Linked DNA regions of Lepisosteus oculatus. The protein of the gene in region 2 interacts with the protein of the main gene of each other region in a biochemical or structural test. Links are inferred from orthologs where the notes say so. Each region holds a gene or a part of one and is shown on either strand. Other genes may lie near its edges. The genes, in order: creatine kinase, testis isozyme; arih2.

The links.
Region 1: of the proteins of arih2 (region 2) and creatine kinase, testis isozyme, one has a biochemical effect on the other in vitro, tested with the Homo sapiens proteins (2 studies listed by BioGRID). The link is inferred for Lepisosteus oculatus from reciprocal best matches to the Homo sapiens genes ARIH2 and CKB.

The regions. Positions count from the first base shown.
Region 1 is NC_090703.1:6,847,169-6,862,997, forward strand, and holds creatine kinase, testis isozyme, read right to left. Parts: upstream 8,431-15,829; 5' UTR 8,333-8,430; coding exon 8,322-8,332; intron 6,837-8,321; exon of another isoform or gene 6,781-6,836; intron 5,934-6,780; exon of another isoform or gene 5,829-5,933; intron 4,809-5,828; exon of another isoform or gene 4,800-4,808; coding exon of another isoform or gene 4,607-4,799; intron 4,081-4,606; coding exon 3,893-4,080; intron 3,706-3,892; coding exon 3,551-3,705; intron 3,400-3,550; coding exon 3,267-3,399; intron 3,095-3,266; coding exon 2,923-3,094; intron 2,413-2,922; coding exon 2,289-2,412; intron 2,141-2,288; coding exon 1,951-2,140; intron 1,679-1,950; coding exon 1,500-1,678; 3' UTR 1,301-1,499; downstream 1-1,300. Other genes in the region: tRNA (adenine(58)-N(1))-methyltransferase catalytic subunit TRMT61A, read left to right, coding at 10,855-10,862, 11,794-12,182. UniProt on the Homo sapiens protein: Reversibly catalyzes the transfer of phosphate between ATP and various phosphogens (e.g. creatine phosphate).
Region 2 is NC_090699.1:65,599,455-65,614,920, forward strand, and holds the start of arih2 (E3 ubiquitin-protein ligase ARIH2), read right to left. Parts: upstream 6,562-15,466; 5' UTR 6,432-6,561; intron 6,423-6,431; exon of another isoform or gene 6,259-6,422; intron 4,594-6,258; 5' UTR 4,407-4,593; coding exon 4,134-4,406; intron 3,603-4,133; coding exon 3,535-3,602; intron 3,331-3,534; coding exon 3,267-3,330; intron 2,895-3,266; coding exon 2,750-2,894; intron 2,159-2,749; coding exon 2,037-2,158; intron 1,353-2,036; coding exon 1,243-1,352; intron 713-1,242; coding exon 595-712; intron 32-594; coding exon 1-31. Other genes in the region: rab GDP dissociation inhibitor beta, read right to left, coding at 8,457-8,603, 9,628-9,682, 10,212-10,356, 10,913-11,084, 11,611-11,710, 12,165-12,296, 13,105-13,303, 14,107-14,241 and 1 more.

The DNA.
Region 1 (15,829 bases), on a different chromosome or scaffold from region 2:
TCTTCAGTCAGGATGTATAGTATACTGCATACTAAACATTTAGCAGATAGTTGTATTCAAAGCTTGTCATTTTCCTCTATTCATACTTGCACGGTCTTTTAGAGTAGGATTTCGGTGTTTCATTTCATCTGAAGGTTGAAGAACAAAGAGGCTTAGTAACCTGCTCACGGTAACACAAAGAATCTGTGGGAGAACCAGAGCTTGAACTGGCAATGGCCTGGTAGCAAGTCTCTCACATAAACTTGAAATAATGCCTTGCATTAACAAGTAAAATGTGTGTCTTCAGGCTCAATCAGACTGGATCTTTTCCTGTTCTAAGCAGTGTTAAGCAGTCAGCTTTTGTGATATCCCCCTGGATGGAATCTAATCCAGGCTGGTACCTGTTTGTGTGGCTTGGTGAACTGGAGCAATTCGAGCACGTTGCTACAGGGTACAACAATTCTATCATTAGAGGCCAGAGCCCTATTCACTTTATGCAACCCCTTGCATTAACAGCAAATTCCAAAATACTTCACAAATAGAATGGATCCTCTTCAAATGCTGCAACTTGAAGGAGAACAGAGTAGCCATTTTGTACCGCCATATGCTGTTGAGTAGATGGGGTACAGAACTGAGAGAGTACCGAGCCAGTGGAAATGTACTCAAAATATAGTTTAAGAGTCATCTGAGCCTCATCAGTATCTGTTATTTCTTCTTCCAGTATTTTAAGAGACCAGTTTGAAATGTAACAGTCAAGTGTTCATGAGCCTATCTTCATGTGATAATGGAGTGAGTAATCTGAGGTTCTACAGTTTCTTCCTTTCAACGGAAAGCTGCCATACATTTTAAGAAACACAACACACCCTTCTGTGACCTGGTTTATTATTCTGCACGGCCAAGCTTCTGTAATTACAGCTTGGAGTGTTAATCAGCAGCCCTATCCGTCAACTGGCTCTCTGCTGCTTGAGGGAATATTGCAAGAGGAGTTAAAAGTGAGGCAGTGTACATTTTGCATCCCATCTTCAATTCCAGCATTATGATTGATGAAATGTGTCTTAGCCTTTAAATGCTTTCACTTAAAATCTGTACTTTATCTTGATAGAGCAATGCATGTTACAGGTACTGTTATCAAGGATGTACATGTTCCAAGAGATCTTACCAGTTATGTTATTTAGCCAGAAGTGCATCTAAGTAAATCAGAATCTTATTGCTAGCTTTGTCAAATTTCAACTGCTATAAGAAATAGAGGCTACTTCAATTATTTTATACAAATTCTGGTGTATATAAATGTTAGACAGTGCTGCTAAAAATAAGCCAAACATTCCATGGGACAAGATTTATTTTCAGGTGTTACAATCCATTTTCAGAAAGAACATTGGGAGACCTTTGCAAGTACAAAAATCTTCTATCATACTGATGGAAGACCTGTCTACTATTTTTTTGTGCCACTAAAGTTTGGGTAGAGTGTATTCCTTGAACAGACATAGTGGGGAGTTTGATTGAAGGGAGTCCAGAGATTTTCACTTCTGAGCTGGCATGAGGTCATCGATTGACTGGCCTTTCTCCAGCCGCTTCTCCATGTCGACCAGGAGCTTCACCCCATCCACCACCATCTGCACCAGCTCCACCTCTGAGAAGCCCAGGCGGTCTGCATTGGAGATGTCAAACACTCCTCCCACTGCTGCAGTGTCAACGCCACCTGAGAAGAGCACCATCACAACAGGCTTTCAGATTCAGCTTGGACAGGTGATAACTTTCTCTGCCAGGGAACTGGCATTTTATACTGCCATTGATGAGATGTCAGTAAGAAACTTCACGAGTTGCAAGTTAGACAGGAAGAAACATTCTTGCCTTAGAAGTGATTTAAAGCTAACCAAGGAAATACAACTCAAAGAATTACAAGTTTTCCCTTTTTGGAAAGAATTGAACCCTTTAAGATCAAATTTGCCCAATATAAAGAGAAGCACTGACCAGTTCCACGTTTCTGAAGTCGCAGTCGCTTAAGGATTTCTCCAAACTTCTCATGCTTGCTCAGGTTGGGCAGCTTGACATGGACACCCCCACGGAGCCCAGTGCCCAGGTTGGAGGGGCAAGTCAAGATGTATCCCAGGTGCTCATTCCACATGAACTCATGGCCTTTTTCCTTGAACAGGGATTCAATCTGGAAAAGACAAAAACGCTCAAGTAACTCATTGCTCAAATCCCTCATCTTGTTTAATCACCTATCGACACTCCTGGCAGAAACCAGTACACACAAAAAAGCAAGAGGTCCTAGGGTTCAAGTCAAGGACATCTGCTGTAACACCTACCTTGGTAAGCCCATGGCAGAAGCGAGTGAAGACCTCTTTCATGTTTCCTCCCTTCTGCATGGAGATGACTCGGAGGTGATCCTCCTCATTCACCCAGACCAGGAAAGTCTTGTTGTCATTGTGCCTGGTAAAAAAAAAAGTGCAAACTGTAGATCTGAACAGGATTTGGAAACTCCATGAAGAGCTCATTCAAGAACTCATGGGAAATGTGTTCCTTGTTCACTGACCCCAAATAGACATTACAGGAATCCAAGAACTACCAGATATCTTTTTGGTAATTGAATAAATCAAGCAACTCCTCCCAAAGAGTTTACAATGATTACTGGTAAGCATTCAGGTTCCACAGCACTGTCCAAATCCATCCAACTGCAAAAGATTTGCATGGCTTAACATTCTGAAAAAGATTATGGGTATAAGTAAAATACCACATTTGTCCTTTTCAAATTCACAAGCTTTGAAATCATTAAATGGTCTAACATTTAATTTTTAGCCTTGGCTAGTTTGACATTGTAGCAAAATGCAAAACCACAATGTAAATAAGTGAAAACTGTTTAGCTATTGGAGAGTCTTGACCACTTTTTTACCCCAAATGCATACGTTTCACACTGTGTTCATAGTGCACCTCAATGCTCACCAGATGCCCCTGGCATCAGGCCAGTCACGAGCCATTCCTGAAGCCAGCAGCAGAGGGGAGACTGGCTTGTCAAAGAGGAAGTGGTCATCAATCAGCTGCTGCTGCTCTTCCTCAGTCATGTTCTTCAAAGCATAGTATTTTCCTTTAAGATCACCATCAAGGGCACTTAAACCTTAAAACAAGAGCAAATGAATATTTGTTTTAGGATGCTTAACCACTGCCAAACACATATGAAAGAGCCAAGTAAGTCTGAAATTGTAATGCCACTTGCATGTGCCAGAGGGTGCTACTTGCACAGTTTAAACTTGACAACTGATATTCAAGTCTTTAAGATGGAGATTTACCTTCAATTGCGAGTTTCTCGATGGCCCGTCTTTCTCCACGGCTGCAGTGAGGCGGCAGGCAGAACCCACGAACGCTCCTGCCCGTTCGGACACGGGAGCTCAGAACATAGTTGGGATCCAGGTCATCCCCACCCTGCAAGAGGTCCAGAGATTTTTCTGCGTTTTACTAGATAGTCCAGGAGCCCTATACAACTGCTACAAGTTAACACCCACTAGCAAGAGACAAGAGGAACATCCCAGCCGACACCTCCAGTGCGCAAAGATTTATTCTTTAGTAAAGTCACCTGCAGATGGTCTGGATTCAGGTCAGTCTTGTGTTTATCAGTTGGCTTATAGCCCCCATGTCTGTCTTTGATCACGGGGTCCAGCAGGTCCTTGAACACCTCATAAGACTCCTCATCACCTGCCACACAGCCCACCGTCATAATGAAAGGGTGGCCTGCGAAATGAAAAGTTCCTTTTGGGATGAATTGCTCAACAAAGGGACTTTGCATAAATGCTGAAGTGCTTCTGACTCGCACACAAGTTACAGCTCAATTAAGGTTAACAAACTGAAGTATTAAATACACTGACGCTACAGATGAAGCTTATCAATATTAAAAGCGAAGTCTGGAATTCATTTTTACCAGGATTATCAACCCCAGTCTGAATGACACCATCTATCGTGAATCCAGCAGGGGTAGAGCGCTCTCGCAGCTTCTTGTACATATCCAGAGTCAAGACCTTGGCCATGTGGTTGTTGTGTTTGCTCAGGTCAGGATACTCCATCTCAGCAGACAGCCTCTTGATGGTCAGTGTGGCCATTTTACTATTGCTGAACAACAACAAAATTCTACATGGTAAAGGAAAGCCACCTGCTCCACCTTAAAGTGCTCCATTGATTAGGGTCTTTTAGAACATAACAGCAACACACCTTGACATCAAGCCCTCTATTCACTAACACGTTAGTGCAAGAGGTTAGTAAAATCGTTAGTTTAGCCTCATCTAAAGATATAATAAAATGTTTTATCGATATCCCAATGTCAAGGGCAAGGTTCTCGGCATACATCTTGATATTCTTAATCTCCTGAAATTAGGCGTTTGACAATGTTTGCTCTGAGAACAGTGCAGTGATGTAACAGGACAACAGCCATTCCCCCTGCTAAGGTCTCTACAAGGGTAGCCTCTGTGCAACCATCAAGGTAACCTCTGGCAAGGTCACTGCGATAACTGGATAAAGCTTACAATGTATCCGACTTTACAAGGCGGCGACAGGTAAACGCCTTTGTGCCATTTGGAAGCAGCACTTTAAGGAAGAAGAACAGATGGCTTTTAAGGAGGAAAGCGGCTCCGATCTTTACCTGGGTTATCAACCCCAGTCTGAATGACATCATCCAGTGTAAATCCGCTAGGAGTCTGCTTATCCCGCAGGCGCCCGTACACCTCCGGAGTCAGCACCTTAGCCATGTGGTTATTGTGTTTGCTCAGGTCTGGGAACTCATCATCAGTGGAGTACTTCATCTTCATCATGTTGTGCGTGTTACCGAAAGGCATGGTTACCACCTGGGCGCAGGATGGGGGGAAAGATTGTTTACAGCGGGGGAAAAAAACGATTTCGCAAGTTCTGTGGAACGATTTAAACTTTTGTTCAGGTTGGTTTACAATATTGAGTCAATATTCCGCACAAAAAGTAACCGTACTGGTGGTATCCCTTTAAAACCATCAACGAGCATAATTTGTTAAACATTTAAAATGCATTAAATGATAAATGATTCTTGTGACTAGAGTTTAAAGTAAGCTTTTTTTAATTAAATTCAGCAGCCACACAAACTACTGTGAATCAAACTACTCGTTTGAAAACCGCAGTGTCCCGTGTCTGTGCGACAGAAGGGTTAAATGTCTGGCGCAGTATTTGTAGGTCTTCTTTCCACATTGGAAATACTTGCTGACTGCGCTTTTCAAGTTGAATTGTACATAAATTAGGGGGGGAATTAATCGAATCGATTAATCAGCTGTATCAGGCACGGAATTGTTTGATTTCTAAAAGTAATCCGAGAAACTAAATCGTTGTTCTCTTTAATCGTAGATACCTTGTCATACAGAACGGCGTTTTCAAGGACTTCGCAGGTAAGGTTTTAAAAATCTTACTCGGCAGTGCTACAGTCTATTCCGGTCTATGGTCTTATCCGCTTGCTAGCGTTTTTAATTAAGGCAAGAATCCTTGTTGCATTCAAGCAGTGATCTCCAGAAGTGCATAGTGCAGGATGACGATTTAGGTTCACAGCACAGATTTTAAAATATCACCGATTCCAGTGCAGCTCCTACGAGCTCGGACTGTAACTGGGTCAGCAACGGTTCTCGGCGTCTGTCACTCAAGTGCACCGCCGACACTTTCTCCACGGCATTGAAACCAAGTCTTTGTTCACCCTCACATACAAGTATAAACTGCGAACGATTTGTATCCATTTCTCGAGCTTGTAATGTCGCACTTGGGGAAAAAAAATGACGTTTTACATAAATAATCCAAACGGTATTTAAAGCGCGTTAAATTAAACGGTTTAGAAATAGCAATGTCCGCCTTACCCGATGATGCCGAACTTGGAAACAAAGATAGACTCCTTTTTATTCTCCCCTGGAATGAGCACACCAACCCTCACTCTGGTGTCCAGAATAACGCACCCGAGATCTTTTTTATATACAATCCACGCTCGCCTCCGATTGGTTGCTATTTGGAGTCCATTCATTCTATTGGAGAAGGGCTAAAAGCCAGCACTGTCCGCGCTTGGCTAGTTAGTAGCTTTCAGATCCAGTGACGCGTATCTTTCAAAATACTCGGTATGTTAGATAAATATACGTAAAACCTCGCTGTATTGTACTTGCTTTAGAATGTTAAACAATAAAACAAATACCAACTGTTGTCGTTTGTGCTACATGTGTTCCTAGCAATACATGTAACGAATTATCTTACACCATCTTGCATATAAAATGTATTATTTATAAGAATTTGGGTGGTTCAGGTTTATTGAACATCTTTTTTACCTTAATATCGAATATTTAATGCCCAGCCTATATAATCTCTCTTGATGTCGATAATGTTCATCACAAAATAGTGCTATTCTAGCCAAATAGTGAACAAATAGTGAAATTCAAAATTGTACATAAACTGAACTGACCGCATAAATACAATTGCATGAGGATGTCAACTGGCCCAAGGCGCACAACGAAGGTTTCTTCGTTTGGCTACCATATACAACAACTAGATGATTTGCTGCAAAATGATTTATCTTGTTGACCGGAGATTGAGGCAATCCTTTTATTAAAGCCCATCGACCACATGCAAGCTTTTCTAAGCATTATAATAGATTACATCCATGTTTATAACATGTATATTTTATGCATTTGAGGAACCACAAATACTGCGCCAAATATTTTGCTATATACATCAATAACCAAATGATTTTCAGTCAGACCTTTCAGAAAGCTTTAAGCTGTAAGAAAGGCTTTGACCTTTAAATAAACGTACTGTCTTTTTAAGACACAGATACGTCATCAACTGGGGACGGAGATCGCGCACGTTGTGTCTTCTCCCAGGTGAGTGCTGTGGTGGCTGAAGCAAGCAAACAATTATATTTAAAATAGCCTTTAAAACTCTGAATTCAAATATCGCTTATTTGGTGTAAAATACAAACTACTGGCCGGGAGGGACAGTTTAACTGGAATCCTATATTTACGTGTGAATGTGCTAGTGTTCTCTATGCAAGCTCTGTTGTATTTTGTTCACAGGGTTTCCGGCGTACATTCCCAATACTTAGGGTTCATTGTGAGTAGAGTTTGATATTTAAAAGCCCGAGTATTCGTGTAATTATTGTTTTACTCTTTCTTATCTGCGTATTCCCAACACCGGGTTATGCAGCTAATCCGACATCAGAAGGCATCTCGGAACCGTCCCGTCGGGTTCGGTGTCAGAGAAGTAACATTTCTTTAAAAAAAAACAATTTTAATCCTAAACCAAGCACAGGAACACGGGCAGCCGATGTTTTCTGGAACTTTCCCCGCTCGCTAGGCGGAAAGTTTTGCTTGGGAAATTGTCCCAGGCTCCAGGTGCCGAGACGGCTCGTGGCCGGAGGTCCGGGGAGCTGCCCGCGAGACGCCGAACTCGGTACCGGTACCGTTACAGAACCGTCTCCCTCCACCACCAAACCTTGGCATCGTGGACAACGCGAAACCGCGGAATAACACGCGTTTTGGGAGCGCGCTTTCTCCCGGCCCAGTTCTCGGCTCCTACAGCCGAACCGGACCTATGAGGTGTACCGGTATCGGAGCTCCGCTCATTCACCGCCGTCGACAAGCGAAATGTCAACCGAGTCGAGCCCCACGGAAGAGGTCACCCTGGGGGGACTGTGCCATACACATTTGGGCATTCCCACTCGTGTCTGTCCATCGTGTCCAGAGCTGGCTGGTCATTCAGGGGTAACGGGGCATATTCTCAACAGGCAGGATGGGGAGAGGCCGCTCCCGGGTTTGTGTTCTCCATGGGTTGACAGACGGTACGTGGGAATTCAGACCAGGCCCTGAGTGCAGGAAACATGGAGACGAAAAGTCTGAACAAACGTTAAAAGCAGCAGTTTGCTCCATCGATGAAGGGCCCGACGGTCAGTTAGGACCAAGGCTGCACGGAGTGACGACACCACCAAATACAGGGAAATTGACGAAACGGAAAACGCACGTCTATCATAGCCGTTAAATTTTAATTATTTTGCACGAGAACAGCTTAAAAAAACCTTTTTAGCATTTTCACACAATGTTTGAAAACTAGTTCAAAACCGATTATGTGAGGTGAAGTAATTTACGTTTCGCGACATCTCTGTGTATTACTTGAAAACAATTTCTGAACACATATTAAATTTAGCCCGTCGAAAGTAGTTACCGCAGTCACCTTGCCGAAAACAAAATGACTTAAAAGGTCTTTTTTTTCGATTAAGGGCTGTTTTATATATTTGGAGGTGAGATTAGTAGGAGTTAGTATTTGAACGACGACGTTGAAACATCGGTATGAGAAAGTCTCCGTGAACTCACAGGTCTTTCATCTTGCGGGAAAAGTGCAGCTTCACCGCCTGCCGTCGGGTTGGGGAGACTAAGGGAAGCCGTTGGTGTCGTTTGAAAAACGGGGGTCGGTTAGAACCTCCAGGTGCCGTTTTGAAAATATAAAAATCAACAAGAGACCCCCGGGCGCGAGCTGTGCGGTACCAGGCTCGTGCGCCCGCGGGCGCTGTATCCATGGACACAGCATCTTAAATGGTCCAATCCATGATTGAAGGCGACTTGACTTCACAGGTAATTGTACTTACAGCGAAGTGCTTCCACCCACCCCACCCCACGTAATCGTTTTATAAAAGACTTCCAAGACTAAAAAAAATCCTGACTGTGTGGCAGGGGAGCCTCGTTGCTTGGTCACGGCGATCAGTGGCCTAAGGCGATGCCACAAGTAACGTAGCTGTAACGTGTTACTGGGTACGTGAGGGTGTTGCAACATCCCCTGGTGACAACTGAACGAATGCAGAAAAATCGTTTCATGCCCGGCACGTTGTGGCTCTGGCAACGTCCTGAGTAAGGTTTCAACCTCGTCTCCCTGGTGGTCTGGTCTCGCATACCCTCAGTGTTTTTGTTTAAATCCCACTCTTTTGGTGAGTTAGCTTGGTTCGTTGAGAGCTGGGCAGTGTGGAGCACAGGCTGGGGTCTGCTCAGTATAGCTGTGGGGAAACAAGCTCCGAGGGTAATTGATTTTATTTAATTTTTATTTAACCAGCTGTGTCATCTGAGACCTTCCTCTTATTTTACAGTGATGGGCTGCGCATGTCCCTGGAGCATTCTGAGTGAAGGCCTTTGCCCAAGAGTATAAGAGCAGGGGCTCACCTGTGTGTACTCATGCCCAGCTTTAGGGTTACAAAGCTAGGGCCTGAACTGCACCCCCACAGGGCTCCCACAGTGCCAGTGAACAGGGGGGCTGCTTCAAGTGGCTGTCTGAACAGGACAGCTTAAACATGGCTAAACCCATCCCGCTGTGTTGGCTATAAGGCATTAATCACGGTCTTTATACCTTTATTTAACTGGATAGCAAAATTAAAACGTATTAACCTGCTTGATCATGGCGGGCATCTGCCAAAACAAATGGCATTTTTCAGTAGTGGTTTATCATACTGGTGATGATTTGTCAGCAGTTCATCTCTGTATTAGCTCGGGCTGTTGTGACATTGTTTTTTACAGCAGAGGGGAGAGTCCCTAGGGGCCTGACAGTAACGTGCCATCATTTATTATTGTTACTGTGCTGATGTTAAATGTCGTCGTTGAACATCAGTCCACGCAGAGTCAGCGACCGCTGTATTCTTAGAGTGCATCTTGAGTCATACGTTTTACAGTTCGTTGCCGATCATGTTTTCCAAGTCTTTTATTGAATCTTTTACTGTTGATTCGCTGGTTTGGGAATCTGAATAACAGGGCTGAGAGCAAACCGGGAAGTGTTTGTCGGACGGTTTCAGAAAGTCGTTGGTGCTGATCTTTCGGCCCTGTCCCGCGTCCCCCAGTTTTTAACTCCCAGTTACGAGTCTTGCATAAAGCATGTTCCACCCTGAAGGACCTTTCGTGCCCTTTCTTGAATGAATTCCAGTTACTCCCCTCAGAACGCAGATACAGGTTTTCCCAAGTTAAAAAAAGGTTCTCATGTATACCTGTGGCCGTAGCCTGGCTTAACAAACGATTCTTTAGTGTACCTCCATGAGCATCGTTGTGGGTTTGTGGGTTTTCTTGATGTGGTCTACCACTGTAAAAACAAGTTGCCCCCCTGGGGAGGATGATAAAGACTCTCTCTCCAACGGGAGCAGTCCCTCGCAGGGCGCGCGCAGGCGAGCGAACAGGCAGCCGTTAAGAGACGCCCGCCCACCCGGGGCGCCATGTCTTTGAGCCGCAGGAGGAAGCCGGAGCACCTGGGTAAAAACCCACACGGTCAAGAAACAGTGTAACGGGGGACATTCAGTGTAACGCGGTCTCTAAGAGGGCCTGAATCCCCTCAGAATGCTGACTTCTGCTGCCGCAAGAGACCGGTAGTACTGGCACCGGGGATTTCTCCGCTGTGCGGGTCGTGGCCAGCCGCGCCCAGCCCCGAGGGAGTCCTGGCACTGATTCGCCTGTTCCACAAACTCCTCACGATCGCCACCACACCTCAGACGTGAGCCTCGGACCCCCAGGCTGTGGGTCGGCCGCTCTCGGAGTCCCCCTGCTCTGCGGTTTCGCCATTAAACATCTAGGAGGTCTTCTACACAGGAGGATGCGCACCTGGAGCCCATGAGGAAGATGCTCCAGTAAATATACGTGTAGCGAGTCTGGTAGTTTTTAAAATTTATGATATGTGCAACCGTGCGTCAGATAAGCCCTGAGCTGAAAATTGTGTTCTCTAAAATAGCATCAAGTTATGTCGGCTTGCTGCCTTCATTAAGATTGCTCTCTGAAGCAGAAAATTCTTCCCAGAAAAGCTTCCGCCTTTTGGCCCCATAAGTCTCGGAAAGCATCTTTCCTCTATGCACTGGAAAAACTTGTTCCTGTATTACCGGAGTATATGTGTGGGTGGGTAAATACTTTATTATCACAATCAGAAGTGATTTTTCTCTTTTTTTTCCTTCAAAGTGGCGTAAGCCGAGATGTTCAGCGTTGTCACTAAGCCACCTTTGATCTGATTTCTTGTTGTAAGGCGAAGTTGAGCATCCATGGATGCTCCTAGGAGGTGCACTCACAAACCAAGATGAGTAAAGAACACTCCTCTCTTCACCAGACGAGGCAGCTGGAAGGTGTTTCTTTTTCTGTTATAATATTAATTCTTAACACTTATATAGCGCTCTTTTCTGGACGCTTACTCAAAGGCAGCAGGGACTCCCCTCCGCCCCCACCTGGACGATGGGCCAGTACGCTCACCACACATCAGCTCTCTGGGGAGAGAACGGAGTGATGAAGCCAGTTCAGAGATGGGGATTATTAGGAGGTCAAGACCAATAAAGGCCAGGAGAAAATTTTGCCCCGACGCCGGGGTTACACCCCTACTCTTTTCTAGAAATACCCTGGGATTTTTAATGACCACAGAGAGTCAGGACCTCAGTTTTGTCTCATCCGAAGGATGGCACCTTTTTACAGTGTAGTGTCCCCGTCACTATACTGGGGCATCAGGACCTACACAGTACACAGGGTGAGCGCCCCCTGCTGTCCCCACTAACACCTCTTCCAGCAGCAACCTTAGTTTTCCCAGGAGTCTCCCATCCAGGTACTGGCCAGGCTCACACCTGCTGAGCTCCAGTGGGCTGCCAGTTGTGAGCTGTTGTTTTTTTTTTAAGAAGCTGTAAGCCCTTGAGTTGGAGTTCATGTTCTCTTGAGCCATCTGCTCAAGGTGGGAAGACACCGGCTCGCACCTCTGAAGTCTCAGTCTGAATGTGCGGTATGCTGCATAGTTCGAATGTGGCAGATCGTTTTATTCCAAGGTCGTAAGTTCACTCTCTGTTCACTGCAGAAGGAGAAACGGGATTGTACGCTGGACGCGAGCTGACCGCCTGGACCTCTTCCCCCTCATGAGTTTCGTGGAGTACGGCGATGTCATCCAGGAGGGGGACACGGCCATCGTCTTCCTGGGCCACGACTCCATGTTCCCGGTGAAGGTGCAGCGCGGCGGCCAGACGCAGACCCGCTACGGCGCGCTGCGGCACTCCGCGGACCTGATCGGGAAGCACTACGGGTCCAAGGTGACCTGCAGCAAGGGCGGCTGGGTGTACGTCCTGCACCCCACCCCGGAGCTGTGGACCCTCAACCTCCCGCACCGCACGCAGATCCTGTACGCCACCGACATCGCCACCATCACCATGATGCTGGAGCTGAAGCCGGGCTCCGTCGTCTGCGAGTCAGGTGCGGCGCAGGCGAACTTCCCACCTTCCTCTGCGGGAAATCACCCTCCCCCCCCCCAAACTCCCCAGCCTGGGAGGTTTTAACCTTTTCCTTTCCTCCTTTCGGCCAGCAGCAGGTTTCCGGCGATGTGGTGATTGGGGGGGCGCGTGGCGCTGGGGTCGCGATTAAGAAATCAGGCTCTCCTGCTATCAGCTGTTTGCCGTGGGGGGTCTTCATCGCAGGAGGGTGGAGCTCGTTAAAAACCGAAATGGACTGAGAAGGAGTGGGACGGGAGCGTTGATCTCCCTTCTTGAGCCATGATGTGAAACTGACACTTTTGAGTTTTGTATAACTGTTAGTCAGTGATCGGGGAAGTGAGGCCTCAAGATTAGGATCCCTAACGTCTGCGTGGGGTGAAAGTTTGAGTCGTTGGAGGCTCTCGGCTGCGCCAGAAGTGACTAACTCTGCCGACTCCTCCTCGAAAAAAAAAAAATCGAAGGGGATTTTTATTTCCAAGAAACCCATATCAAAGGTTAGAGGCTTATCTTGTGAACTGGAGTTTGATCTGGATTTAGCCATGTGTCCTTGAGTAATACCTTGAGTAAACATGTCGGAAAAGACTTTGGGAACAAGCTTAAGAGCGAGCCCTGAGGCTGACTTGAAGCAAAATAGTAGCAGCAGTTTAGACGCAAAGGAGTGACCTCATACTCGGGTAGCAAAGGCAGAATGACATTGTGAATTCTGAGGCACTGTTGCAGAGAGCTGGGGTAATTTGGAATGAAGGACAAATAAAAAATGACAAGTGATAGGAGATTTTAGAGCAGAACTTGAACCCGTCTTGTTACTTGCCTCTATAAATGAAAATTTAAAAACCCACCTAAAGCCTAGCATTGAAATCAATTAGCCTGTGATTAAGAACGAACCCCAATAGACATTACCAGAACCTCTGTGTTAATGTGTCATTCACTTGACCAGGGCGTTGCCTTGTAATTACAGTGTAGTTAGTGTGTAAACAGCACTGCTTCATGGACATACCATGTCATGTACGTACAGCGATTTAAACTAATTCTCTCTCCAAGACCTTTAACCTCAAGCACGCTCTCCCCAGCTCTGTGGACTCCACAAGTCAGGCTGGGGTAGATTCAATCCGTTAGAAGTGTTCCGCAAGTTTCGAGCTCGCCTGATTGAATCGAGAGGCCTGGACAGTAAGCGCATGGAGAGTGGACCCTCGGGTCCCGGAGGTCGTGGCGTAGTGTTCGCTCCGCTCAGAGGACGCACCTTTCCCACGTTGGGTGGCACAGCAGTAAGGATGAGCTGGCTGGCGCACACTGCAGGTTCTCGGTGGGTTTCACAGCCTCTTGTGAAATATTTCCCGCTTGGAGCCCGGGAGCGACCTCCAGCTGCAGTGACAGCTGTGTAGGAGGATAATGGATGACCACAGCTGCCTGGCCGGGCCGCAGAGCCGCAGTGTCTCCCTGCCTTGCAGGCAGCACGGAGGCCCGCTAGCCGCTCTCCATCTCTCCCTGAAGAAGGAGTCCGTCCTTGCCATACTGTTATTAATGAAACAGCCCTGTGCGCTAGTTTCCTAGCTCACTATTAATAAAACTTCAGGAAAAAAAGGCCATCGTTTCTTTCCTGATCCTTATTCTTTGCAGCTCTCTGGGCTGGTTTTATTAATGCTGGAAATTAGCCTGCAGTTATAACCTTGTTATGCACGTGAAGAATATTACTCTGCTTTGCTTGAAAACGGTTTATATTTGCCCTTTTTTTAGAAGGCTGATACCGTGTGGATGCTTGGAGTGAAAGTGTTGCGGCAGCACTTTATGAAGAAGCGGCTGAAGATCATTATGTAGCTGTCAGGGACAGAAATCCATGTGGCGCTCAAGTGATCCAGTTTAGTTTGCCTTGGGAGGGTCTTAGAAGCTGTACTGAAAAGCTGCACATAGACTGTACACTGTTTTTCTAAAAACTCTACTCAAGAAGGAAGCTAACATATGTTTACTAACTCATTATTACAGATTTATTTAATGCTATTTCTCAGGGTAGTTTCATGCCGGGACATAAAAACTGAAGATCACTGTGGCGTGGCAGAGCTCTTCAACAGCATTTGAGCGCTGGTGATGTCAGGGCTTATGTAACTTTTCTTCAGGGACAAACAAAGCCCAGGTGCGGCAAGGAGCTGAATTGTCAAAATCACAGTTTGCAGCGGCTCCGGGTGAATAAATCTGATGCACAGATGGGCTGCCACACTGCTTGCTTTTCAGCAAAACTGCTGCAGTGAGGGGAGTGAAATACCCAGCCCGTTACCTCTCGGAAACCGAGCACCTCGATAACAAACATAGATGCAGTTTATGCACAAGAGCAAACACCCTTTCATAAAAATCCACCGCCCTTGCAGCATCACGTTAAACTGGCTGTCAGCGTGCACATCCTTCATGTTGGTGCACTGAAGGTTTGACTCGGCACTTTTAGCTCCTCCCCTGTGATTGGCCGGAGCTCAGGAGAAGGGGAGAGCATGCAGACCTTGTTCCATGCAGTCTGGGGGGGGCTCAGAGCAGAACTAAGGGATTTCAGCTGAAGGTCGGCAGCAGCTGACAAGGTCTTGAGTTTGAGAGAGTAAGAGCTGGCTGTCCCAGGCCTGGATTAAAAAAAATCTAGATACTGTAGCAAAGCCCTTGGTAACGCAGCCTTGTGTGGGGCTAACGCACACCAGGAGTGCCCAAACCTCGACAATATCTTTATCAGGTGACATTTTCTCTTTGCACGGGGATAATGGCAGTTGTATGTGTGATACGCCGATAATGTTGAGAACTTGTCAGAGTCAGGAGAACTGCTCCCTGGTGCTGTGTGAGATGCCCTTGTCTGTGCCCTGCCCTTCTCAGCCAGCCCCCCCCCCTCCCCCCAATCTGTGTGGGTCTGAAATATTTGCAGAACGTAATGAAGCTTGGACGTCCTCCAAGTTCTGATTTTTATCAGTTAGCCGAAGAGATATTTAACAGCACTGCGTAGCAGGTGACTTAATTAGGCGAAGATTAGGCAAGCTGGATCTTGGAACGCAATAATCCCGAGTGTAATGATTTCTATTCATATCGACAGCTGTTCACAATAGGTTTCAAGGGCACTTCTGTTTTTTTCTTCTGAGCAGGGCTGATTTCTGAGTATACGCGCACAGGAAAAATTTGGATGAGAGGTAAAAGTTGTTTTTAAAATGTACAGTCCCTTCTTGTTCAGTACCATAAAAACTAATAATGTAGCCTTCTACAGACTGCATGCAATAGATGAAAAACGCCAAAAGGGCTGATAATCTGCTTCTTTCTTGACTAGTAGTAATAATAAACTTTTTTTATATAGCACCATTTAAAGATGGCTTCTCAAAGCACTTTACAGAATGACAACGGCAAAAAATACGAAGAATACACAAGGTGAAACAACAAGGTGAATAACAATACACAGAGGAGACCGTGGATGGTTCCACTGAGTGTAGTAGGAGCAGAGGGAGGAGTGAGGGAGGTGTGCTCCATACTCCAGCTCAGAGTCAGGATTTTCTGCATTTTCCCCGCCATGTGAAAAAGACAGCCTGCCTGTCGTATCCGGGTGCATGTTCCCAAAGAGTTCTCTTTCATAATTGATGCACCCTGCCAGAGAGCAGCTCCGCTTGCGGTTTCAGG
Region 2 (15,466 bases):
TTTTCTCAATGCAGATATTGCACTTAGGACACTGAAAAACAAATGGACAAGTCACCACAATGCCCAGCTGTCCCAGTCCCTCACTGTCCCACACTGCCTCCCTCCCTCTCTCGGCTCTGCCCACTGTCCCACACTGCCTCACTCTCTCTCTCGGCTCTACCCACTGTCCCACACTGCCTCCCTCTCTCTCTCGGCTCTACCCACTGTCCCACACTGCCTCCCTCTCTCTCTCAGCTCTACCCACTGTCCCACACTGCCTCCCTCTCTCTCTCAGCTCTACCCACTGTCCCACACTGCCTCCCTCTCTCTCAGCTCTACCCACTGTCCCACACTGCCTCCCTCTCTCTCTCAGCTCTACCCACTGTCCCACACTGCCTCCCTCTCTCTCAGCTCTACCCACTGTCCCACACTGCCTCCCTCTCTCTCTCAGCTCTACCCACTGTCCCACACTGCCTCCCTCTCTCTCTCAGCTCTACCCACTGTCCCACACTGCCTCCCTCTCTCTCAGCTCTACCCACTGTCCCACACTGCCTCCCTCTCTCTCAGCTCTACCCACTGTCCCACACTGCCCCCCTCTCTCTCTCGGCGACTCACGTCTTTAGTGTGCGCACTGATGTAGTTCGCCGTCTCCGAGTCGTCGGCGCATTTTGTCAGCCACTTCCGTATCGTGGCGCAGTCTGTGGGGGCGTGGTACATCTGGCGGCACTTGAAGCTGAGGCGCAGGGGAGCGGGGAGGAAAAACGAGCCGGACAGGCAGAGCGGAGGAAAAGAAAAGAGGGGTTACAGGACGAAGGACAGGAGGAGCCGGAGAGAGAGTGAGGGGGAGGTAAGATAAGGGTGTAACGAGGCTAACAAACGAGAGGAGGCCAGTTGGCCCACGTGGTTTGATTGGTAGTAGTTAACAGACGCCAGGACCCACTCCAGCGGTTTCTTGAAAAAAGCCAGCGAATCGGCTTCACCAACACGGCTAGGCAGCTGGTTCCCCCCCACCACCACCCTTTGTGTAAAGAAGTGCCTCCTGCCGTCGGTTCGAAAAAGCAGTTGCACATAGCTCCCACCAGTGCTCTCGGGCTCCTGCTTCTCTGTTGGTTCTGAAGAGCCCCCGCTGCGAGAGAAAGGTGCCGAGGAGGGGGGGGGAGCGCTGTGGGTGTGTGTGTGTGTGTGCGTGTGTGTGTGTGCGTGTGTGGGTGTGCGTGTGTGGGTGTGTGTGTGTACGCGTGCGCACGTGGTGCTCGGCATTACCAGAAGACCTCGCTGCAGCGGCTGCACTGGACCCGGCGGGCCAGCGGCTCCTGGACCTGGATCACGATGGGGCAGTCCGCCCCCGGACACAGCTGCAGCTGGAAATGACTCTGAGAGGCAGAGAGGAGGGGCGTCAGTCAGGATCCGGTGGGACACGCGTGCGCACACGCTGCGTTGCACCCGCTCCTGCCACGGCAACCGGCGGCCGTGACTACCCGCTTTGAGAGAGGATCCATTCCACCAGTTACCCCCCCCCACACACACACCTGTGACCTGGGGAGCCAGGTACCGGACATCTGCCTCTGCATGACGACCTTCCCTTTGACGCCACCCCCAAGCTCCCCTTTGTGCTCTGCTTCAGTGTTGAAGAACTTGCCCGCCCGTTTCCGATCGCGTTTCGGGCTGCGTTTCCGATCGCTTAGCTCGCCCGCCCGCATTTGGGTTCTTCTCGGTGCCCTGGGACGCTGCCGAACTCGGGTACGAGCCGCGTGTCATTACACAGCCTGTACCAGAAATCTCAAAGGCACGCACAGTGCCACGGTGCAGACAGGGCCATCTCAGAACCACGTGCACAGGGGAGGGAAGGAGGACTCCCGAGAGAAAGACAGAGACCCAGACAAAGGGTCTGGGGAGGAGGATCAGAGAGGGGGAACGAGGCGAGAGGACAGGCCTGGAGAAAAACGACGCGAGGAAAGAGCACAGAGGAAGAGTGAGGCACTAGTCACAGAGACACAGACAGGAGGGGCAGTCTGCTCCAGGTTAGACGGGAGACGGGCAGATCGCGAGGGACGGACCTCGACGTAGTCTCTGAAGAGGTAGCGTCTGTATTTGTCCTTCAGCTCCTCGCTCGGCAGCAGAGGGAACACGAAGTCCTCGGGCATCCGCAGGGCACAGTCCTGGGCCATACACGAGATACCTGGGGGCAGACAGACAGACAGACGCTGACCGAGTCCGGGGCCGCACGTGACATTCCTGACCGACAGACGGACCAGCTCAACTCCCTCAAAGCCAGCACCTCCCAGAGCAGACATATCTACCCCCCCGATCCTGGAAGGCTGCAGTCCACCGGGAGTAGGATACAGGTATCCGAAAATCCCCAATGAGCACAGCACAGGGAGCACCGGTAACCCAGACACATTGAGTGAACAAGAGATCCAAATCAAAGCTGCTCAGAGTCCTTGAATGAGAAACAGCAGACACAGGGGCCCTCCTGGACCAGGAGTGAACGACAGAGATGACCAAACTTGGTCCCCGAGAACACCGGTGCCTGCTGATTTCCATTCCTGCCGAATGGAGGAATTGGTGTTCCTCCATTCAGTAGGAACACCAATGCCTTGAACTGGCCTACTGACTTGCCGAAACTCGAGGTTAATTTGCTTTGGCTCTCGGTCCTGAATTCAAACACACGGTTTCCAACAGAATGAGCAAAAAGGTGAGGTAAGGTGAAGGGCTGCTGCCCTCTCTGCTGATCCGTCTTCTCTCCCGCCCCCCCCCACCGAGCACTCACCCACGCCCACGCCATCCTTCACGAGCACGGTGCAGTGCTGCTCCCAGCATGCCTTGCAGAAGGCGTGCTGACAGGGCAGGGCGAGCAGGGAGTCCTGGCGGACGAGCTGCAGACACACGCCGCACTGCGGGGACTGGGGAGGGAGCTGGGGAGGCAGGGGGAGAAAGTGACGTAAGAACAGGCACCCAGCTTATCCCCGTCCAAAGAACCGCCTCTAAGGAAACCGCACACCTTGGAGTCATGAAATGAGACGTGCATACAAACACCGCAAGGGACAGTGACAGCAGAGACTGAGCAGTCTGTCAAGTCATCGTGAACGGTGGCCACGCTGAGGCAACGCTGTGCCTTCTGCATGCCGACACATTTCCTTGGGAATCTGTCTCCCAAGGTCCCATTTGTATTTGCACCTTATTACAGGGCTCAGCATTTCACCACGTTTGCGCAAAGAGGGTAATTAACCGGGGAAGCGCCTATAAACACGTTCATGTGCTCGTTAACGCAGGAGAGGCATACTCACAGATTTACAGGCTCCGGGCTGAACTCGAGCCTCACACAGCAGCTGGGACGAATTGGACTTGAACCTGAAACCCAAGACCAGCGGACAGGTCAGGCAAAACGGTGAGAGGAGGACTTATCGATGAATATTCTGCAGGCGTCTGACAAGGTGAGCAGCTATGTGGGCTTATCAGCAAGATGTGGCCGTCAGTGTAGGAGTGTCAACGAGACCGGCGCTCTCTGTGCGAGGCCTGTCGGTGGGAGATGACACAGTCCAGCTGAGGTCTTACCTGTCCAGTATTTCGGAAACCTGCCAGTGGAAATGAACAAGCACCAGTTTTGCAACAGCAGGCAGAACCTAGAAGGTTGGAAGGATGAAGAGGGAGAAACTTTTTACTATTCAGCTGTAACTCCAGCTTTACTTACGCCACTTCTCCGAAGACTCAGGTCCAACCTTTCCTCTCTTAAATACACACGCAGATCAGCCACTGAGCCAGCCAGTAACAGGCCCTGTGCTACTGTAAGCTTACAGGCGGAGAGTTGGACAACAGAAGTCCACTTCTGTCTCAGAGGGAGTGTGTTGAATGCCCTTCGATGCTTTTTGAGTTTCCGGAATTTAAAATAGTTGAGTCGGGGGTCGGGGCCAAAACACACAGACCGACCCAGACAAGTCTGTCCCATTCGCATGATTCCTGCGACACTGCGTGAACCAGACTCAAACAGCTGCTGTCTTCCTCGCCACCCCCACTGCCCTTCACCCTGGCCCAGACCTGCAGAGACTCCAGACTGTCAATATAGTTCAGCAAGGCCCCCAGCCTCTGCTTGGATTAACAGCTGCCGTCGCTACACCCCACCCTTCCCTCCCTCACCCTCCCTTCAGCTCTCTAACCTTCAGTGCTATAGCCACAGTGTTGACCTCCTCAGCTAGCACTCGCTGGCTCTCCCTGTAGGTCAGACAAGTGAACTGGTATTCTTCTGGATCGAACGAATCGGCGCCCTGCTGCTCCACGTCGCTGGCCACTCCTTCGTAATAATCTGCGATGTCGCCCGTCTCCTCCTCCTCCTCGCCCCCTTCCTCCTCCTCCTCCTCCTCCTCCTCGGAGTTGGCACCGAAGTCTTCCTCGTTGCTGTCGGAGGCCTGGCTGTTCATGTCCACGGACATCACTCGCTCACACACACACGGCCCACAAGACAAAACTACAAACCACACCCCTGGGGCACAGGGACTACAATTCCCAGCAGCCTCGGCGACTCAACAGCAGCAGCAGCGGAAGAAGCAGAAGAAGTCCCACCCCCCGTCACTCATTGGGTTCTCTTTTCCTGATCTGGTTTGCCAAGGAATTAGAGACCTGGGATAGAAGGAGGGAAGCAAGGGGGGGGGGAGAGACAGAAGGACAAAGGAAGAGAGAGAGAGAGATAGTGGAGAAGGAGAGAGAGAAGAACACATTCATCCAGTTCTCAGTGACGATAACAGCCAACTTCAAATACTTCAAACATCAATACAAGTGTTACCGGGATGCTGATGTCTCACAAAAACACGAAATGTACTCGTTGTCCTTTATTTGACCAGATGAGCCAAGTGAGGACACGTTTTTTTAAGGACATCGGGGACTCGGAGTGCTCTCGTGTCCACAGCCTGGCGCTGACCGGCGCAGCCCTGTCCTTACACCAGGACACTGCCCAGCGCCCGGGACAACGACGCCTGCGTCCACTCCGACCAGGCCTCCAGCCCACCACCCACCCCTTCACCCGGACCCACAGCTGGGCACGAACCGAAAGCGGCCCGGAGCGGCGCGGGATTCTCCAATCAGGGCGGATATAAAACCGCACTGCAGCTGTCATGGACCCCCCCCCCATTGGACACGCAGATCAGCCCAGGCCAATCCCCCTCCGCGACCCCCCCTCACAGCCGCCACATTTCACACGTGAAAGCCGGCGAGACCTCGGAGCCAACGAGGGAGAATCGCCGTGAGCAACTCGGCCGCGTGAGGGTCCCCATCAGGCTGTATCGCTCTCTCTTTCCCCGCCACGTGAGACCGTGCTTGGGTATCCGCCCGCGCCCTCTGACAGGACGTCAGCCCACCACAGAGCCACAGAGCCGCCTGGCCAGGACTGCGCGGATGAGTCACGAGACAGAGGCCAACCAGATCGTCTGACCCCGGACTCCTCGGAAGGAGGAAGTGGGACGTGTTACTGGAACTGTGGTGGCCCCAAGTAGGTTACAACGCACCGCTGTCATCATCATTGCTGACTCGGCTGTCTGCCTGTGCCTCTCGTAGCGATTTCCCTTTTAACCCAACCACGCCAAACCCAAAGAAAGGGACCAGGATGACAGCAACCCCCAGTGTTCTGGTCAACTCAGTAAGGAAAAGAGCACCCTACTGAAGTGTGCCACAAGCTTCCTGACAGGAAACTGTGACCAGACGCTTGTCTCGAACGGGTGGGTCTAGACTGTCCGTTCTGTGCCACTAGACAATGAACACAAGACCCCCTCCAACCTCCAGCGGTACCCGACTCTCTCGCCGTCTCCTTAACGCGGCCGTGCCGGCGCTCCCCGGCACGTATTACGGACGAGACATCGCTCGTCTCTCGCTCTGGGCCGGACGTGTGAGTTCAGCAACGCGGGCGCCGGCTGGGGTGGGTATCCAGGCCGCCAGCATCCCCGCGTCCGGGCTGGGACCCAGCGGTCAGCGGGGAACACCGTGTCCTGAGCGCGCCTCACATTCCGGCCGCGGCTATTAATAGAGCCGCCGACCGGCCAACACGCACGACTCCCCAGGTCCGGCGCGCCAGGGCTCAGCGGGCGGGGAGGCAGCAACAGGAGGCAGGGGCCGGAGCCAGGCTTTGTTTACATCGCGCTTTCGAACTCGCTGCGCTCTCAAACACGAGAAAGTAAAAACAAAGAGAGGACCCTCACCCCACAAGCCCACCTCTCCCCTTCCTCACGTCCACCCAGAACCAGTCCCCGGCCCCTCTAAGGTACGGTCCCTGCTCCCTGTCCCCCCACCGCTGACCTGCACCTTCGCTCCGTTCCCGCAGCGGACAACGAGGCCGCCGCCGCGTCTGACCCGAGCTCGGGGATCGACATGTAAACAAGGCCGCACGGGGATTATCCTCGCCCTCCCCAGCTGCCCCCCCTTAGCCACAAGGGTCTCCCGCTCCGGTCCGCCGCCACTACTCCACTCACCACTGGGGCCGCTGTCAACCCGTTTCGTTCTGCGGACTTTCGGCCCAGATCCGGCGACTTGCGCTCGACTCGGTTCCGCTACCCGACCTGCAGCAAAAGGGAACACAGGAAACACAAGGGGAACTCGTCGCTGCGTCACATCCGGCTGCAGGGAAAGGGGGGAGGGGTTTCTGGGATAAAGGGGGAGGGGATTATCGCGGTGTGGGCGGGGTCTGTTTGTGTGTTGTTGACGGCGCCTGATGAACAGCTCTTGCCTACTGCGGGTTACTTCTTTAAAGCCCAGAAAGAAAAATAAACTTTTTTTTTTTAGTTTTTCAGCTGCTGGAGCTGAAGACAGGTTTAAGGCCACATTAAGTTTAGGTGTGGGTGAGAAGCTACAGCTTGCCCACAATGGGAGCTGGCTTTTGGATTGACGGCAGCGTTAAGGGGCACTGTATAGGCTGGGAGTTAAAGTCGGGGGTCAGTGTCAGTATCAGGGGCTCCAGCCATCAGAAAGGTGTCAGGCAAGAGGAGCCACCCAGCCCACGTAGTTCATCTGGCTGCTGGGAGATAACTCCTGTGAGCAATCTCCTCGAGCTGTTTCTTTAAAGACGCCAGGGTATCGGCCTCAACGGCAGAATGGCGTGTGCCAGACTCCCACCACCCTTTGTGTAAAGAAGTGTCCCCTGTTCTCGGACGAATCCATGCAAGCTCCACACCCTGCACTCAGAACCCTGGAGCTGTTGCGAAGTTGTGCTACCCTGCCTGCCCACACCCCGTGTCACCAGTGGAGTTTTTAAATCCCACAGTTCACCTTTGAAAGTTCTGCTTTTGCGCTCCCTTGCGTTGCTCTGCTTGTTGCCCGGTGTTTACCTCCTGTGTGGACCGCTCCAGGCGGCGCTCCTCTGCGCCACATGGATTTCGACCTCTCGGTCATCCGTCAGCGCCTGAGCCGTCCTCGAAGAGAAGGCCCTCAAAGTCATCGTGTCAACACGAGGGTGCTGGGGCTGGAGCTCAGGCTCAGGAGGGCAGGCCCCGGCCCGGAGAGGTGACTGTCCGGCTCCTCTGCTGGCCCGCTGAGGCAGGACACCCCTGGGAGAGGGGAGTGAGAGGGCGACTCTGTGTCCGCATGGCGCTTCTTGTGAGGCGTGGGGTTAATGGGATTGACTGTCCCTGGCCTAGTTATTAGCGCAGGGACAGTAATCTGTTTAAAGGCCTGACGAAGGAATCCCTGCCTGTAATCCTCACAGGCCAGTCTGTTCCCGCAGAGGGGTCCCTCTCTGCTCAGGCCGTGTCCTTCACTCGGATAAGTGACCTTTGCACCTCTGAGCCTCCGCTAATCCCCAGTACATCTCTTTCACCCCCCGAGTCCCTCACTCTGTCCCCCTTCCTCTCCTTCCACAAACGCCACGTAGGCTGAGGCTCAGTGAAATCAGGGTGAAACCATCACAAACTCCTGTTGGTAAGACAGAAGTCAATGCATAGTATTAATGGGGGAAATCTTTTTTTACAAATTGAGGATCACCAGTTTACGTTTTTATTCTGCCCTGCCCCGTGGGGAATGGTCCCCAGACTAATGCCACCCTGTCTAATGGTACTGCTACTGTTGTAATGAAGTTTCATTAAAGCCAAAACAAACCAGGGAGTCAGACAGCATGTCTCCAAAAACATTTATTGGGGTGGACTGGCTCTGTTTAACACACACTGTGGAAGGGAGGGACTGAAGGGGGAGAAGGGAGGGGCTAGCCCATGACCCTGTGCTATTCCCATTGGTCAGCTGCCATTGGGGTGGAGCCACACAATGACCAATGAGTTTACAAGATGGGAATGCTGGGAGATTAGCTGGGGAGAAAGAGCAGTGTTTGAAATGGGGGTTCTGTCCTTGTTTGTCTGTCAATTTTTTTTTCTCAATTAAGTAAACTGAGTCTGGCTGCTCATTTATCCATCGTTCCAGTAGGTCATTGTCAGTGTGTCGGCGTGCCACGGTGCTGTGTGTCATCGGCCGTCCGGTGTTCCGCTCCGTCTGTCTCTGCGTGCGCGAGCCCCTCAGTCCTCCTCACAGACATCGCAGTGCTCTCTGCGCAGGTTGCCAAAGTTGAACTCTGACCCTGTCATGCGGCGGTACATGTCCTTGATGTCCTCACACTCCGTCTCAAAGTGCGTTGTGGCATCATAGGAGTGAGAAATAAATATCTGGACGGGGAGAGAGACAAAGACCCACTGTTTTCCACTATTTCCAAATTACATGTAATTGCAAAAAAGATTACACATTCCTATATATCCTCACACTAGTTACTGAACCCCTCCCCCAGCTGGACGGCCATTATCACTCTCCTATATATCCTCACACTAATTACTGAACAAGTAAGAGGTTTATTCCATGCTGAAAAAAAAGAAGAAAGAGAACACAACGTTTCGGCCATGGAGCCTTCTTCAGGTGTAGTCTGCCTGTGTCCAGTGTTTCTGTCCAGACTGTGGTCACTGAGCCTGTCCTCTCTGGACAGCCAGGTCTGCCTTTGTCCAGTGTCAGTGTCTGTGTCCAGACTGTGGTCACTGAGCCTGTCCTCCCTGGGCAGCCAGGTCTGCCTGTGTCCAGTGTCTGTGTCCAGACTTTGGTCGCTGAGCCTGTCCTCTCTTGAAGAAGGACACCTGAAGAAGGCTCCACGGCCGAAACGTTGTGTTCTCTTTCTTCTTTTTTTTCAGCATGGAATAAACCTATTACTTGTTCCTTTGCAGCCTATGCATGCTGACGCAGCTCCCCACCTGATTACTGAACCCCTCCCCCAGCTGCATGGCCACTCCCACTCTCCTATATATCCTCACACTAGTTACTGAACCCCTCCCCCAGCTGCATGGCCACTCCCACTCTCCTATATATCCTCACACTAGTTACTGAACCCCTCCCCCAGCTGCATGGCCACTCCCACTCTCCTATATATCCTCACACTAGTTACTGAACCCCTCCCCCAGCTGCATGGCCACTCCCACTCTCCTATATATCCTCACACTAGTTACTGAACCCCTCCCCCTTTTCACAGAACCCCTCCTAAACTGCCACTCCCATATTTACATATCCCCTCCCCTTATTGCAAACGTCCTCCCTGAGTTATCTGATCACTCTGATAGTTACAGCTTCCTTCCTCTCATTGCAGGTTTCCCAGGTTTACCACACCCCTCGCTGCCAAGCCCCTCCCCTGGTTACCAAGCCACCTATTACCTGGCTCTTGCTCCCATCGTCGGTGGGGACAAGCAGGTTGCTAACGGAGACGAACCTGTTGACCAATCGCATGGCATGAAGACACGTCAGTACTTAAGAGCAGGAAATAAAGATTGACTTATTTTCATAGTCTGGGCCTCTTCCACTGCAGTGCAACCTCTTGGTGAAAGTCTGTCTGTGTCAGTATGCGGGCTCTCTGGACAGCCAGGTCTGTCTGTGTCCAGTTTCTATAACCAAGCTGTGGTCACTGAGCCTGTCCTCTCTTGACAGCCAGGTCTGCCTGTGTCCAGTGTCTGTGTCCAGACTGTGGTCACTGAGCCTGTCCTCTCTGGGCAGCCAGGTCTGCCTGTGTCTAGTGTCAGTGTCTGTGTCCAGACTGTGGTCACTGAGCCTGTCCTCTCTGGGCAGCCAGGTCTGCCTGTGTCTAGTGTCAGTGTCTGTGTCCAGACTGTGGTCACTGAGCCTGTCCTCTCTGGACAGCCAGGTCTGCCTGTGTCCAGTTTCTCTGGCCAGGCTGTGGTCACTGAGCCTGTCCTCTCTGGGCAGCCAGGTCTGCCTGGGGTGTCCAGGCTGTGGTCACTCACTTCTGCATGATGGGCTCCAGCAGGTCCAGGCCGGGCTGCACCTCTTTCTCGGGGTTGCTGGTTTCCACTGTGGTGCTCACCATGGCGATGTACTTCCCCTCCGCCGCCACGTTGTGGGCGTAGGACACCATGCACACGTAGACGTCTGCGCGGGCGAGAGGCGGGGGGCGAGAGGCGTGGGCGCCGGGAAAGACAGGGGGCACGGGGAGGGGGGGAGGGCGTGGGGCGTTATTACTGTGGGGCTTTCAGACAAAACCCAGCTCATCGGGCCAGAAGGCGCACTGGGCTCTGCAGGGTGAGGTGGACTGAGAGCGTGTTGTATGATTAAACGAAACAGAGCACTTTCAGGAGGAGAGAGAGGTGGGGTCCAAGGCTCTAGACCACTGGTCTTCAAGGTACGCGATTGAATACGATTGGCAACTGTGAATAACTGATGAATCAGTCTACCAATCTGTTAAGTGAACTCTGGTCTTTAGGAACCAAAGAGTGCTTACATTGTGGTCCTAAAAGACCTCTGAATTAATTAAACACATCACCTGTTTAATTGCTCATAAGGGAATTGTTACCTCTCTGTAGATTTTGTTTTCTATTTCTCTCTGTAGAAACTGGTGACTTATTGTGGACCTACACAGCCTGCTGGCCTGGGGGTCACATAACCTGTGATGTCGTCATTGCGTTCGGGATTCCCTGCGATGTCATACCCGACTTCCTGTTGAGCTGCGTCTGTGGGATGATGATCTGGCAAGAGTTAGCGTCCTGCGTGTGCTTGATCGGATGGTTCAGGATGCAAATGACCCGGATGACCCGGCCCACTTTCCTGACCCGGTTCGGCACGTAGGAGGGGTCGCAAATCAGCTGCTTACAGCGGGCCATCTGCGGGGCAGTGGGGGGGGGGCGGGGGTATTTAATGAAAAATAAAGGGCAAAGAAGGATAGACTGTCTCACCTAGAGCACGACTCCCAGCTCAGGTCCTAGAGGCTAAAATGAACTGCCTAGTTGACGTCTCCTCTGCAGACCCCCCTCCCTCTCTCTGCCTTTTTCCATCTGCCTGCCTGCCTCATTCCCTTTCTCTTTTTGCCTCCATTCCATTCTTTCATCTTTTTATCCTTTTTGCTTCTGTCATTCATGAGAACATATGACGGGTCATGGACAATTCAGTCCATCTGGGCACTTTGGATAGCTATTTGATCCCAGGATCTCATCCAGCTGTCACTGGAAAGAAACCAGGGCTTCAGCTTCAACAACATGGCTGCCCAGCTTGTTCCACACCCCCACCACCCCTTGTGTAAAGCAAAGTTCTCAGTTTGAAATGCTCTTCCCTGTAGTTTCCACTTTTTGTAGCTCAGTTCATCCCCAGGATCTCTCTCCCAGACTTTCCGTCCCCCAGTGTCTCTCCCACCTCTCCATCTGAGCGGACACCCACGACTCTTCCGTTCTCCAGCACGATCTCATCCACCGGGCGGTTCAGCATGTAGGTCCCTCCATAGACCGCACTGAGCCTGGGGAGAGGGAGAGAGAGGGACAGGGGCAGGGGGAGAGGAGGGGAGAGAGGGATGGGGCAGAGAGAGAGGGAAGGATAGGAAGAGAGAGGGACGGGGGATGGAGAGGGAGGGAGAGGAACACGGAGAGGGAGGGAAAGAGAGAGGGAGAGAAAGAGGGACAGGGAGAGAGGGAGAGAGAGGGAAGAAAGAGACAGTGTTCTGAGCAGTTACTGCAGGAGGTCTGGCAGACTGTTGCTGATCTAAGAAGCGTCAGTGTCCCCTTTGTATTTTGTGCTGCATGCATGTATGTTTTTATGCCCTGCAAGGTTGAGATACTAGACCTACTCGCTGAGAGGACCCTCCCAAGACATGCTGTGTGAGAGTCTGGGGTGATTAAGTGGACCTGAACTGGGCTAGATGGTGCTACTCTCATCTGCAACCTCTCTGCTGTCCCTCGGCCCTGGGGTCTTACCTGGCAAAGCCCTGGGGAAGCTCCCCCAGCCCGTACAGGGGGTACAGGTAGGGGCTCTTGTTGTAGCGAGCCAGAGATTCGCAGTATAGCTTGATCCGCTGGATGGTGTCGATGCAGGGCTGGTCCAGGTAGCTGCGAGACACAGGGGCAGTGAGACAAACCGAGGCAGGGAGAGGGATCCACGCAGGAAAGATCTCCGTTCAAGTCCCACTCCCTCCCTGGCTGTGGCTGAAGAGGTCGAGCTCCTTGGGAAACCAGAGCCCTGGGGTGAGATCAGGTGCTCGCTCCCCAAGCCCCTGAGCCTGTTCCAGTTAGTTGCACTCATACAGCATCCTTCACCCCAAAGAAAAGCAAAGCGCTTGACACACGGGGGGGAGACCCACTTCACCCGCCACTGAAGAGCAGCACACAGCAGCCCCGCAGCACACAGGCCTGGGGAGGAGACAGCGGGGGAGAATCAAGAGAGGACTTTAGGGAGGCCAGACAGTTCCAGACGAAAACAGAGCGGAGTTCAGCCGGGGCGCTGGAGTTAACACCCCTGCTTCTGCTAGGAGCCTTGCCATCGGCTCTTCGGACCATGTGTTCAAGACCTCAGCTTAACGTCTCACCCGGAGGACAACTCCTGCTACAGCACAATGTCTGCACTCACCATTCTCGTCCAGAGGAAAGGCGCCTCCTACTGCACCACTAACCACTAACGCCACTTACAACTGCCTCCTGTTTTATCCTGAGAGGTCTCCCGTCCCATTTTTCAGCCCTGTGGAGGCCATGGATGATCACTGTGTTAGTCCAAGGGCGCATGAATAACAGTGGTCTCTCGGGGAAGGGCTCAGTGCTCGGTTTAGAAATAACGCATGCTGTCTGTGCTGTAGCTCTGCACCTGCCCTGAAGCAACCAGAGTGAACGCAGGGGAGCGCCCCCTGCAGGCGGCGGTACTGACTTGTCGTTGCGGTGCAGCGCCAGCGCGTGCCCGGTGAACTCGATCACATCGGGCCCCAGGTCGAACTTGCGGAAGACGTCACGCATGGAGGTCTGGTGGGGGTCCAGGTCCTGGTGGGTCCGCGGGTCGCCCTCGTCGAAGTTCAGGATGAACAGGAGCAGCTTCCGGAAACGGCGCTTGTCAAACATCCCCATCAGGTCTGTACAGACACACAGAGACAGAGGCAGTACCCTCTCACACACAGTACGGACACACAGAGACAGAGGCAGTACCCTCTCACACACACAGTACAGACACACAGAGACAGAGGCAGTACCCTCTCACACACAGTACAGACACACAGAGACAGAGGCAGTACCCTCTCACACACAGTACAGAGACACAGAGACAGAGGCAGTACCCTCTCGCACACAGTACAGAGACACAGAGACAGAGGCAGTACCCTCTCGCACACAGTACAGAGACACAGAGACAGAGGCAGTACCCTCTCGCACACAGTACAGAGACACAGAGACAGAGGCAGTACCCTCTCGCACACAGTACAGAGACACAGAGACAGAGGCAGTACCCTCTCGCACACAGTACAGAGACACAGAGACAGAGGCAGTACCCTCTCGCACACAGTACAGAGACACAGAGACAGAGGCAGTACCCTCTCGCACACAGTACAGAGACACAGAGACAGAGGCAGTACCCTCTCGCACACAGTACAGAGACACAGAGACAGAGGCAGTACCCTCTCGCACACAGTACAGACACACAGATACAGAGGCAGTACCCTCTCGCACACAGTACAGACACACAGAGACAGAGGCAGACAGTGAGAGGAGCAGAGGCACAGACAGTGAGAGGAGCAGGGGTACAGACAGTGAAAGGAGCAGGGGTACAGACAGTGAGAGGAGCAGGGGTACAGACAGTGAGAGGAGCAGGGGTACAGACAGACAGTGAGAGGAGCAGGGGTACAGACAGTGAGAGGAGCAGGGGTACAGACAGAAGTGTTACCTGATGCCAGGGCCTCGGCCTCAGTGGAGGGGACTTTATGCACCCGGCCGGCTTTGTACACAAAGCTGCCCTCCACCACCTTGAAGTCCAGGTAACGAGTCACCTCTGTGTACAGCAGCATCTTCACCAGCTGACCTAGAGCAGCAGAAGATGTTACGCCTAGAGAGACGTCTGTCGGCCCCACCAGCTCTTTCAGTTGCAGGTAGCTAATTGATAGCAGGATCTCAAGAAAGGACCAGGGAATCGGCTCCAAAACCATGGCTGCCCAGCTTGTTCCACGCTCCCACCACCCTTTGTGTAAAGAAGTGCCTCCTGTGCTCAGTTCTAAGTGCCCTTCCCCGTAGTTCCCGCCTGTCTCCTTTGTTTCATATTTCACTTTTGGTTCTGAAGAAGCCTGCTGGGTTGACCTTGTCAGCGCCTGCCAGAGCTCCTGCAGACCGCTACACACCGCTACACACCGCTACACACCACTACACACCGCTACACAGCGCAGAGGCTGGCTGCACACCGCCGTGCACACGGCACCCCTGCACACGGCTGCGTCGGCCTGCGCTGGCTGCAAAGGAACTGGCGCAGGTAGGGGAAGAACGGCAGCACAACGTTTCGGATGGGGAGCTTCTGCGGGGGCGAGGGAGAGGGGGAAGGGACAGAGGACAGAGCAGGGGAGAAGGGAGAACGGGAGGAGGGGGGCGGAAGGGCGGGATCTGAGCGAAGGAGACGAGTCTGTTGTTGAGAGGAGGGAGGGGGGTGTGATCCAGGTCTCAGGGGCACTTTGGTTTTTGGGTGTCTTCCTGCAAGAGGGTTTCCGAAACCCCTGAGCGAGGACGCAGAGGGAGAGGTCGGAAAGATCCTGGCCCTTAGAGGTGAAACGGGGAACTGTCGGTCGGGAGGGATCATTGATCCTCACAGCCCGGACAGTCTTCCTCCTGTCTCCAGGAAGTTTCCGCACGAGATGCAGTCAACAGGCTTGCTGGACAGACACCATGTCCTCTGAGCGTGTGGTGCTGGACATGTTGCAGTGGGTTGTGTTGCAGGGTTAAAGTGCCTGGTGTGGGCAGTCGCTGTGGGTGGTCCAGGGAGCTGTGGACTGGGCAGATTCGGCGGGCAGTGGTATGAGGGGAGGGGGTGGTCAGGGAACAGGGTGCCACGTCCTGTTGGGCCAGGTGTGTACGATTCTGCTCTGCTGCTCAGCCACCCAGAGCGCACAGGGTCCGAGAGGCTCGTTGTCTGTGTCCAGGTGTGAGAGGGGGTGTCGCACAGCCGGCCAGAGGTCACGTATCCCCGCCCCCACCAGCTGGAGGCTCCTACCGTTGGCCATGAGGAATTTGGGGACGAGGTCGACATTCCAGTCGCGGCCCCG